Linked DNA regions of Nothobranchius furzeri. The protein of the gene in region 2 purifies or fractionates together with the protein of the main gene of each other region. This does not show direct contact. Links are inferred from orthologs where the notes say so. Each region holds a gene or a part of one and is shown on either strand. Other genes may lie near its edges. The genes, in order: map3k8, tnip2 and tank.

Region 1 (4,335 bases), on a different chromosome or scaffold from region 2:
ACTTTGCAAAAACGAACTTTAAAAGGATTTTGCAATATTGACAATTTCTAGCTAGGAAACTTCCCTGTTTGATCTTCCACGAAGTACGCACATGCACACACACACACACACACACACACACACACACACACACACACACGCACACATTGTTGAAAAAAATAAGTGATTTGTGAATACATGTACAGAAATCTAAAGAGCAGCTGCAGGAAGGTTTTATTTCTGTTCTTGCGTGAGAGGAACACGTCCTTTTAAGGGCACTCGGTCCTGTTCCTCTAGTGAATGTGACTCACAGCATCCGCACAATCCTGGAAGTAGCTGTGTCAATAAAAAGCTGCTTCTGGCGGCATAGAGAAATACACGATAGGGCTGCTCGATTATGGCAAAAATAATAATCACGATTATTGTGACTGAAATTGAGATCTCGATTATTTAGGACGATTTTTCAATTTATGTTGATTTTATTTGTTTTTATTCAGCCATAAAATTGCTCAGGGCACAATCAGGACAAAAATAAATAAGAAACAAGATGATCACTAAAATAACTCCTGATTCCCAGTATAAACAGACCAATATACTTATAGCTCATAGTCTATGACCCAAGGGCTATAGACCTTGGTTTAACTCATTTAAGTCTAACCAGTACAGACCCAAATACCAATATCCTGCAAATACTGACAGTAAGAATTATACAGTGGCATTTATAACAAATACATGCAAATAAATTGATGTTCACAAAATCTTGCATAACATTTACTGAGTCATCTCAAGGTGCTGTAGGAGAGTGCACTAGCACCGTGTCCTCAGAGAGATTAGTTATTAGTTATCAGCGTGAGGAACTTGTTTCTACCTTATTTATAAACTATTTATTTACAATCCATCAGTTAATGTAATAATTGTCCCAACCACAGCTGCACCCCCCACCCCCCAACCCGGTCTCAGCCATCGGGGCAAGCTGCACGTGTGTTTAGCACGCCGTACACCAGGGGCGTGTCCAGGGAGTGGCCTGGGGTAGCACATGCCACCCTTGGAATCTGATTGGCCACCCCAGGAGCCACCACACTAATTTACTTTAAATGGGCTTTTCATTGTCCACAAAAGGCTTGGGGGTAAAACAAAAAAGCATAACCATTGGTGCCACCCATGCATAAAGTTGTGCCTCACCTGGGCCACCCCATTTTAAAAGATCTGGACACGCCACTGCCGCACGCGCACATTTAGCCGTTTTTAGCGGCTCAGGAGTCCGCAGGTGCGGTGTGTGTGTCACTCACTCTGGTTGACCCAACAGGGAGCCGGCCCTGAGAGCCGTTTCTTTAGCGACCGACAGATCACTACATCATTCCCTTTCCTAATGTCCTGAAGAACGGTCCGGAGCGCAGGCGGAGTGTTTAGCTAACCTGCAGGAAATGTCGACGACAGTTATCCAGAAAGTAGCTAAGGGTTACCAGAGATGTTTCTGAGGTGTTCGCTAGGTACTTTTAAGATTTAAAAAGTCAAGAAGGGGGTCTGAGAAGCTGTTAGAAATAGCGTCAAAGTCGCCAAGTTGGCAACACTGTGGGAGGAGCGCTTCATTTGCCTCAGGGCAGCGCAAGTGGGAGGAGCAAATAATCGGCTTGTTTTGTTTTTATAATCGGTCAAAACTCAGATCGTAATTGTGATTAAAGTTCGATTAATTGAGCAGCCCTAATACACGATGAACTGAATTCCAGTCAGACTCACCAGTTTACAGGCCATCCTCTTCCTGGTCATGGTGTCCTGGGCCAGGTGGACTTTCCCAAAGGAACCCTTGGGAACAAGGCCAGAGCCAGGATTCTTGTAGGTCAATTTCCAAGGAAACAAAAGCACATCCATGCTGACCTGATAGCGACCTTTTCTAATCGCCATATCTTTCTGAAATGGAAAAGAGAAAGATTGGAAAGTAAAAAAGCTCATGAAAATGTTTTTTATGCAGGCAAATTGAAAACTAGGCACACCTTGCTCAGGAGGACTCCCATCTCCTTACTGAGGTGCTGCAGGGCTGATGTCTGCATGTTAGACAGGAAGTTCACAAAAGACAGGAGGTCTGTCACTGTCCCATACTGAACACCCCCAATTTCATTAGCATAGTCCTTCTGCTCATCCACCAAACCTGCCTCCTCCCTCTCGCCCATCTCCTCCTGGCTGGCCTCCTCTAGCTGATGGAGCATCTCTGCTGCGTTGATAATGTCCTCTACATTCATGTGAGCCAGCAGCAGTTCTAGTCCAGTTTCATATCTGTAATCCATCTTTATGCTCAGCTTCTGCTACTCCGCCTGAATTCCTGCATCAGGAGGTGACGTTTTGGGCAAATCACCAAGCTCCTGGTCAGAAAGGAGAGAGAACAAGATCTTAGCTCGGCTCCAGCTTCAACACAACTGTCTGAACCCTGAAGCTGAAAAGGGCCTCCGAGAGCACTTCTCTATCCACATCAGGACAGTCTGGTCAAGCTGGGAAATTCCAGAAACCCGTGGAGGACTCGGCTTGTAAAACCCCCCAAACAAAACAAAACAGAAAACTTTAAGGTTTAGATCAGCATTTAGTGCCTTCTAATAAAGAAATGTAAAATGTTTACATTAATTCTCCTTTTATTAATGCACTTTATATTATCTAATTGCATTAGACTGAAATACCTGCTAAAATGTTGTGTTTATAAGTAAACATTCTCAGTATATATGTATATGTACACACACAGGCAAATAAAAGGTTATTTTAAGCGAATAAACCATCACGAGCCGGTTATTTAGGGTCAGTCGTGAATAAAAGCACTTGCCTTGGGTGTTCTCTGCGGTCTCCGGAGTCGCATCTCTCCTCCAGACTCTGAGCCCTTCTGCCGTCAGAGACGACTGTCGACTTGACTCTCGGAAGGAAGTAAATACCGGAAGTTAGAGTCCAAACACACGTAGGTATTTTTCTTTTTCTTCTCTTTTTTATTTTGGCTTTAAAAATAGGATGGATTTTTTTTCTAAACATTTGTGTTTTCTTTTAAAATGGTTACAATAAATTGTTTCAATGTTCAGTTAATGTTTTTATCCTTTTATAAATTTGACAAACCTAAAATAAAAATAATTTAGGCGATTGAGACCTTTTGGTGCCTCTTGCTTGCCGTAGATCAGAGTTTGCGCATGCGTAATCTGGCTTTTACTTGAACAACTATGGCGTCTTCCATAGCCGTTTCTCGGTTACATTTGAGGGGAAGGACCTGCTTGTTAAATTGTTTACAAAAGGTGGACACGTTTCTGCACAGGGGTGTTGGAACAGACGCTGCTGTTGCCCAAGCGCAGACAACTGAGAGAGACGGAAGTGGTTCGTACAAAGAGTTAAATAACTTTACAGGGACAACTGTTTCAAACCTCTTTAAGAAATCATGAGTTTTTGTTTCCTTGGCTCCAGTTTGCAGAGTTGATTGGATTTCTAAAGTATTGTATGTTTGTAAAATATCATCTAGGTTCAGGTAACTTTCGGCTTTGTGTTTGCCCAGGCAAATCTTAAGGAATGAAAAACAATGCGCGTTTCTGTCAGTATGCCCCGGGGCAGCTGCGTCCACAGCTCGTCACCATGTGACTGGATGAATGGTTTACAGTGGTGTAAAGCACTTTGGAGTCCGCTGACGCACATAGGCGCTCATTAAGTTAATTCATATTTGTTTTTCTTGATGTGAATGTTTGGATTTTTCTGATAGACTTAAGCCAAGGTTTGTGTTTGCACACTGATGTCTGAGCTTTTGCCTCTGGCTGGTTACATACCGTACGTGCTTCGTTTTCTGATTATTGAAAATAATCAATGCATTCATTTGAATGTGTTCAAAACAGACTTGCTTGGACTAGTGTCCTATCTGGGTTAGTCTGACCTTCATACTTTAGGGAATATTGATAAATCAGTAAATTAACAAACCTTTATTGGAGTTAAACCCCCCACACAGTTTCTCCTTGTGTCATGATAAATGATCCGCACTTGTATAGTGCCTCTCAGAGTAAGGACTCCAAAGCGCTTTACACTACAGTGTATCATTCATCCATTCACACACACATTCACACACTGGTGGCGATGAGCTACAATGTAGCCACAGCTGCCCTGGGGCGCACTGACAGAGGCGAGGCTGCCGAGCACAGGCGCCACCGGTCCCTCCGACCACCACCAGCAGCAGGCAAGGTGGGTTAAGTGTCTTGCCCAAGGACACAACAGCAGAATTCTCTGTCCGGAGCCGGGATCGAACCTGCAACCTTCCGATTACTGGACAACCCGCTCAACCTGTTGAGCTACTGCTGCCCCAGTCATAACTCTGTTAAACATCAGAAATGCTTGCCCATGTTTCGAGGCATG
Region 2 (4,283 bases):
TTTTGTGGTCGGATCACGATCTGTGGTTGAAGCTACGTGCTGCAGATTTATCTCTCAGATGAAAAATGCACCACACAATCAAAAGCTACATTTCAATAGATCATATTTATAGGAAACAACATGTTTTATTACAAAAATAACATCTACAGGAAAAAAACTAAGTCTTTAAAAATGATTTTATGTCAGTTTGGATGCATTATTTACATATACTGCTTTAAAAATGATTGAAATATTTATTTCTGCCTGTCATGTATTTAAAAATACATGTTTACACAACATTTATGGCTTAAGTTGGATATAAAAACAAGACATTGCACTGAAACAATCACTCTTTTCCAATGAGAAATACAAATAAATATTAATATAGTTAGACTTTTTAAATCTGTCATTAAAAGAATATATTTACTTAAAGAAACACTAACAATAGCACCACATAAACAATTAGGTATAAACCCAAAGTAAGAAGCTTATGCATCAATAATATTTTAATCGCATTATGATAACACAATGGTTTTTTTTTGGGCTAAATAACAAAAAAGTGCAAAAAGATTGTAATTTGACATTGAGGTATATAACATTTTAAAAACTGCATTGGCATCTTCTCTCCCCAACACAGTAATCTCCTGCAGTGCCATGGGACAACTCTGTCTGGGTGTTTGTACAGATCTAAAACCATGAACTCATTTTCTCTTGCAAAATGGAAAGTTTGGGGTTATGTTCACATCTCAAGATGTCAGTTATTTAATCTGAACCTCCACCCAGGTTGCTTCCTGCATTGTAGTGCTGCTTTACAGTGTTCAGTAGAGAATCAAAAACTGGTTTTCGTTTATAGCCGGGCGCACTCTTCAAAATGGTTCATGCACTCTGCAGCTTCTGTGTCGTTGAACCTGGCGGAGCAGTGCGGACACTGTAGTTCCGACAGACCTGGGAGTTCGTTCCAATTTGTTACGTTTGCAGCAGCAGCGTCCACTGCAGGCGGCGGCGGCCTTTCAGCAGCAGCCCTTAGCAGAGGCTCTGAGGAGTCCTTACTTCGCCTCGAGGAGATCCTGTGTCCTATGTGAACACGGCACACAGAACCCAGGTCTCTGCCTGCTCCCTGCAGAGATTTACAAACACCTTGTCAAGCCACGTGGCTGTAATAAGTAAAAAAATGAGTGGATGCTTGTACAGAAGCATCTAAATGACGATCTGACACCTCACCTGTTTGTGGATCTGCTGCTTCAGCTGAGAAATCTGCTCCTTCAGGTCTGCGATCTGACCCTGTGCACGCGCTCTGTCGGCTCGCTCTGATTTAAAGTCGTCTGTATAAATCAAAACCTTACGGGGAAAACAAAACAACTTTGAAAATTCACAAAACGATTACGATCACTTTAAATGTGCTAATATTACATTAATACCAACCTGCTGCTCCAAGGTCTGGATTCGCTCTTGGCCTTGCCTCCTTATCTCCTCCACCTCTCTCTCCAACCTTGAACAGTCTCTTATTTTCTCCTCCAGTAAAGTGTTGAGCCTGGCGATCTCCTGATGAAGCAACACTGAGCTGACGGAGCCCTGCCCGGTGTTCTCCTTCAGCCTCTGACACAACCCTCGGATGTAGTCCTCCCTGCTTGAGTCATACTTCTGCCACTGAGAATTCAAACTCTGTACCTAAACAATGGAAATAAATAAGAAGCAAAGCTCAGCATTAGAAATTGTGTGTGCAGCTGATAACAGATTTGGTTGGAAGTAAAATTTTGCACTGAAATATAGGGGGAAATCTGTTGAAATCAAAAATACAAACGCACATAAGCTACGCGCTGCTTCAGCTGTTGGTTCTCCTCTTGAAGCTGATGAATTTGGGATTTGGCAGCACTTAGGTCAGAAGAGCTGGGCGTCTGGAATAAAAAGTCAAAAAGGGGTTAATAAATAACTCAAAAAGAGCAAAGAAGGCATTGATTTTTTATATTGTTTATATATATATATATTGAGCAAAAATATTATAAAATAAGATGAAATTGTACTTTTTGCTGCTGGGACACTTCCTCCACTTCTTCTCCGTCTCCTCCCTTCTTCTCCAGCCTGCCCAGCAGCTCCTGGCACACCCTCACTGTGGCGCTGAGCTGACCCCGCAGCTGGTCAGCTTCTTCGGCCAGCGACGTGCAGAGCACGGTCCTGGTGGCTTCGGCCCGCTGCTTCTCCTCCAGGGCTGTCCTCAGCCTGTGGATCTCCTGGTCCTTGTCGTGGTCCGGCTGACACCTGATGCTCTCCAGCTCCAGATCTTTCTCTCTGAGCTGCAGGTTCAACCTCTGGATCTCCTAGTTTGGGGGACACAAAGAAGAAAGTATGAGAAACCAACTTTTTTCCTGAAAATGACAGAAATAAATCATGCTTTTTACATATTTGAAGCTTCCTTTGGAGCTGCTGGTTTTTTACCTCTGCTTGACAGGATGCCTTGAGCTCCAGATCATCTTTCTTCTGTTTTATTTTGCACAGCTCCTTCAGTAAACTCTCCACCAAAGACTTGGAGGGACCGAGGAACACCCGCTCGTCGTCTCCCATCGTCATGCAGATCCTCTCATGCCTCCCGACCCTGGACTTTAAATCTGCGATTATATTGTCCTTTACGCAGATCTGTTTGTTGAGAAGCTCGATTTCCTGCCTCGTCTCGTGAAACAAAGTGTTTAACACGCTGTAGCTCCGCATTTTGTCCTTCGGCTGCGCCTCGTTCTCCGCCTTCAAACTACTCGAGCTATCCATCGCAATCGCAATGCTTAAAATTTGTAGATTTCGCGAAAAACGGTTTCAGTCTTTTAATAATCCAGCATTTGACGCCTCTGCCTCTTACTCTGAGTCTTTCAGAAACACACCGAGAAGGTGAATTCTGGAGGAGATCTGGCGCATCAGTGTCGAGAATATCCCCGGACGCTCTTGGGGGATTTCCTAGGGAACTTCCCCGCGGACTTTTCTGAGCGTCGTCAAAACGGAGCCTGGCTTTCAAAGACTCACTGCCGAGATCCGTTGGTAAAAAAAAGTGGAGGCTTGTCAGGCTGTTGGCACAAATTCACTGGCTGTTTGTACAAAAACACAAAACGATTCCCCTTTCTTGCTGTCTTCAGCTAGCTAGCGTCGGCTAGTTAGGCAACCAGAAAATTGATATCACTGCTGCATTCACTGCCGTCGTAAATTCGAGAACATTCAGCACAAACCAAACGAGTTCACCTGATAGAACAATCCCCACTCTACACATTTCGAATATTATTCACGTGAGTCACAAAAAATGCTAATCTAAGTTACATTTTTTGTGAACCCAGTATTTGGGTGGTGGCTTTCACCTGAAAGTATATGGCAACACAAATAGATGCTAACAAGTACAGTTTCCCAGTTACCAAACATCCCGTCCCTACCAATCACATCAGATGATTCAGTATATGAATTCCCCTCACAGTCCATTATTTTGTCCATGTGAATTTCCCCCACTGCATTTGATACTTTTTAGCTCATTATTATTATTATTATTATTATTATTATTATTATTATTATTATTATTATTATTATTATTATTATTATCTGAGTAATTCCATTTAGGCTAAACCAGAAAATTGATACATGAGTTTTGTATGGTCTTTTTTTTAATGGTCGTATGGTTCATTACTGCTTTCTTACAGCACTAAACCTGTTCCACTAATAAACCAACCTCATCATCACATGGAATCCAAGCATAACTGCACTACCAACACATGACCAATCTTTGCAACGTGTTATCAGTGAGATTACTTTCATATGACCTCATGTTTCTGATGCACTGACATTATTTGAATAATGAAAGATCAGTAAACATGCTCTTTTTTTGTTAGGCATTTCTTATGATAGCGAGTTTGATCTAATCTTTACAGGAAACGCAATGTAAATTTCTGTGGCCAAAAAAAATCTACCCCATTTCAGATTTATTCTGCTTTCACTTTTATTTTCACACCTAAATTTTTAAATATCAGACAAACTTGAGTAAATACAAAATGCAGCTTCAAATGAATAGTTTTTTTTTATTAAAGCTATCCAAACCAACTTGGTTCTGATCATGAAAAAAAATGTATTAACTACTTTATTTGGAAAGCTGAGTTCATATTCACTAGCTGCACCCAGGCCTGATTTCTGTTAGATCACAGTACCAACAGTCAAGCATGGTAGAGGTAGCATGATGGTCTGGGACTGCTTTGCTTCTTCAAGACCTAGATGACTTGCTGTAATTGTGGAAACCATGAATTCTGCTCTCTACTAGAAAATCCTAAAGGAGAAAATCTGACCTG
Region 3 (3,141 bases), on a different chromosome or scaffold from region 2:
TCAGCAAAGCACAGGTGCTCACTATCACACATTTAGATTGATTTGTGAACAATGTTTGAGAGAAATGGTAATATTGTGTATCTGTAATGAATTTTAGATCTTTAAGTCCATCTCATGAAAAATCAGAGCAGAAACAAAGGTGTTGCGTTTATATGTTTGTTGTGTAAATACAGTAACAAAGTACTTGAACTTCGTTATAATAGTGATAAATGACCCGCACTTGAGTAGCGCCTTTCAGAGTCAGAGGACTCCAAAGCACTTTACACTACAGTGTATCATTCATCCATTTACACACTGATGGTCATGAGCTACGATGTAGCCACAGCTGCTCTGGGGCACACTGACAGAGGTGAGGCTGCCGAGCACAGGCGCCACCGGTCCCTCCGACCACAACCGTCACCGCTGGAAAGGCTGTGTACCGATGAACATTAGCGCTGATTTAATGATCAGTCTAATTTTTATAATCAGCTGATTTTCTAGCTTTTTTTAGTCCTTTTAACCCAGAATATAATTTAAACGGATCATGGAACTCCATTACTAGATCACCTAGATGTTTGCTTATATTTTAAATAAATGCACATTATTGCATGGCTGAAAATTTTCATATTCATATTAAAAAACTGCTACAGGAGTAAATACTGGTTTATTTTCTCAAATATATATTTATATGCATCACCATAAAATCTCAGTCTGATAGTAGAAAATCAATGTGAGCAAAATAAAAAAAGTGTACCATTTCAATATTAAGTATTAAATAGATGGATTCAAGTCTTATAGAAGTGTAAGTTCAGTTCCTGTACAGCGCTTCTTGGACTTCAAGGCAGGCAGGAAGTGGATCATGATGAACACAGTAAAATGTTTAAAAAGTAGTTGGGACCTTGGTCCATGAGTCTCTGCTGCCGCCGTCAATCATTGGTTTCGTTCCTAGGAGAGCAGTGCAAGAATAGGTGGCTGTTCATCCGGTTCTGAGGAACCACGGCGTTGCAGAAAGCACATTTATTCGGACTGCCGCTCTGAGGCTCCTGATCTGTCCCGATGTCGCCCGCCTCGCACAACCCAGGACTCCAGAGAGACTGCAATTTCAAAAACAATCGGAGATGTAAGCTGTTATTTATTCTTGAAACCATTTTTACACTCAAGTATGCTCCACAAACTTGGCCCTGAGGTTTAAGGATCTGTTGCTTTCAAAGTCATCCATTCTATAGTGAGAACAAACAGCAGCAGAAAGGAAAATCTATTCTCAAGTGTTTAATTATCTTCCTATTTTTGGGTTCATCCAAACTAACCAAACTGTAATTAAACGGCACAAACTTTTTCCCATCTCGTCATTCACCATTATTTATTAAAACACATCAGCAATAAAATCCTACATAGGCCCCTCATACTTGTTCCAACGTGCTTCCATCTGGCTCCCACTTTCAGGCAAAGACGCCAAATATAACCAGAGCGTCCGTGCTCAAATAAAAAAAAAGAAAAAGGAATACACACACATTACATGGTAATATGTTTCAAGTTTAGCCAAGGAGATATTTTTGGACTTCACACTGTTTTATTCCTCCATTAGCAAAGACCAATCAGAAACTGATAATTTGCTACTACTTTTCTCAGACCTTCTCCTGGGTTTCTCACCTGCTGGGGTCCCCGCACACTCTCTTGGGAGGGTGAAGAGGGTGTCGAGTGGGAGGGAGACGTGGGATAGACAAAAAGCAAAGGCAGTTCCATGGGCTTCTCCTTCGTCAGCGCCGGAGAGGTGCTGCTGGGAGGCTGCAGCTTCATGGGCATGGCCAGATTAGGATTCCTCTCTGGAGCACTGTTCAGAAAATCGTATTCACTGTCCGCAGGGGGTGGGAATTTCACACTGAGTTTGGTGAGAGAGTCTACCAAGTCCCTGTCCTCGTGAGCGGCACCACGGGATGCCAGAGATGCAGGCAGGTGAGGGATGTCCGCAGCTGCCCTTAAAGCTGAGGGAAAGGGCCTTTCTACCTCTGCGGTTCGGTCCGTACACTGGATGGGCATGGAGAACCGCTGATCTGGATAAGGAAGGAAAAATGTGATGTTCCATAGTTTTTGCTGTTTCTCATTTTATACTGGTTAAAGGACAGTTACACTTGAGACACATCTTGACAGGTTACATATACCATTAACCTTAAAAAATGTTTATTTGATTGCATTTTGCTACAATTATCTAAAAGACTTACAAATGAACCCTAACATGCATGTTTTGGCCTGTGGGAGGACACCAGTAAAAACCCACTCGTGCATTAGGAGTACACGCCAGCTCCAAGTGGAACGGCCGCTGTACAGATCTGAAAAGGTGACCTTCTTGCTAAGAGGCGACAGTGCTTATAATTGCACCCCCATGCATTTTGATACTGGTTCTCACTGGTCCACACTGTAGGTGTAGTGGTTTCCCCTGCAAATGCATTCATCAAATACCCAACAGGCTTCTGATTTTATATTTTATATGGTATAAATAGCATGCAAAGATGTAAAGAATCAGCACTAGAGATGAGACTTTGACATTTAACTAGAGGTCAACCCATGTTGGGTTTTCTATTGCTGATACTGATGGCGATGTGTAAGAGACATGGTCAGCCGATGGCTAATATGTGCAGCTGTTTTTTGGGCCGATTTTCATGGCTGATATCAAGGCATTTTTCCACCTTATTTTCATGCTAAATGTTGACCAATAACATCAGTTGATCTGGGGCTCCACGCAAGATCTCATCCCGTGGGGTCAAAATGATCATGAGAACGGTGAGCAAGAATCCCAGAACCACAAGGGGGGACCTGGTGAATGACCTGCAGACAGCTGGGACCACAGTAACAAAGGTCACCATCAGTAACACACTACAACGGCAGGGACTCAAATCCTGCAGTGCCAGACGTGTTCCGCTGCTGAAGCCAGTGCATGTCCAGACCCGTCTGAAGTTTGCCAGAGAGCACATGGATGATACAGCAGAGGATTGGGAGAATGTCATGTGGTCAGATGAAACCAAAGTAGAACTTTTTGGTATAAACTCAACTCGTCGTGTTTTGAGGAAGAAGAATACTGAGTTGCATCCCAAGAACACCATACCTACTGTGAAGCATAGGGGTGGGAACATCATGCTTTGGGGCTGTTTTTCTGCTAAGGGGACA

The links.
Region 1: the proteins of tnip2 (region 2) and map3k8 purify together in Homo sapiens (affinity purification with mass spectrometry; 3 studies listed by BioGRID and IntAct, with this or other methods). This does not show direct contact. The link is inferred for Nothobranchius furzeri from reciprocal best matches to the Homo sapiens genes TNIP2 and MAP3K8.
Region 3: the proteins of tnip2 (region 2) and tank purify together in Homo sapiens (affinity purification with mass spectrometry; 3 studies listed by BioGRID and IntAct, with this or other methods). This does not show direct contact. The link is inferred for Nothobranchius furzeri from reciprocal best matches to the Homo sapiens genes TNIP2 and TANK.

What each region holds. Positions count from the first base shown.
Region 1 is NC_091747.1:30,279,690-30,284,024, forward strand, and holds the start of map3k8 (mitogen-activated protein kinase kinase kinase 8), read right to left. Parts: upstream 2,889-4,335; 5' UTR 2,786-2,888; intron 2,337-2,785; 5' UTR 2,262-2,336; coding exon 1,971-2,261; intron 1,888-1,970; coding exon 1,717-1,887; intron 1-1,716. Other genes in the region: mtpap (poly(A) RNA polymerase, mitochondrial), read left to right, coding at 3,168-3,318.
Region 2 is NC_091744.1:17,107,976-17,112,258, forward strand, and holds tnip2 (TNFAIP3-interacting protein 2), read right to left. Parts: upstream 2,940-4,283; 5' UTR 2,737-2,939; coding exon 2,413-2,736; intron 2,295-2,412; coding exon 2,001-2,294; intron 1,875-2,000; coding exon 1,785-1,874; intron 1,648-1,784; coding exon 1,402-1,647; intron 1,318-1,401; coding exon 1,201-1,317; intron 1,097-1,200; coding exon 827-1,096; 3' UTR 87-826; downstream 1-86. UniProt on the Homo sapiens protein: Inhibits NF-kappa-B activation by blocking the interaction of RIPK1 with its downstream effector NEMO/IKBKG.
Region 3 is NC_091754.1:19,414,305-19,417,445, reverse strand, and holds the end of tank (TRAF family member-associated NF-kappa-B activator), read right to left. Parts: intron 2,031-3,141; coding exon 1,630-2,030; intron 1,074-1,629; coding exon 906-1,073; 3' UTR 625-905; downstream 1-624.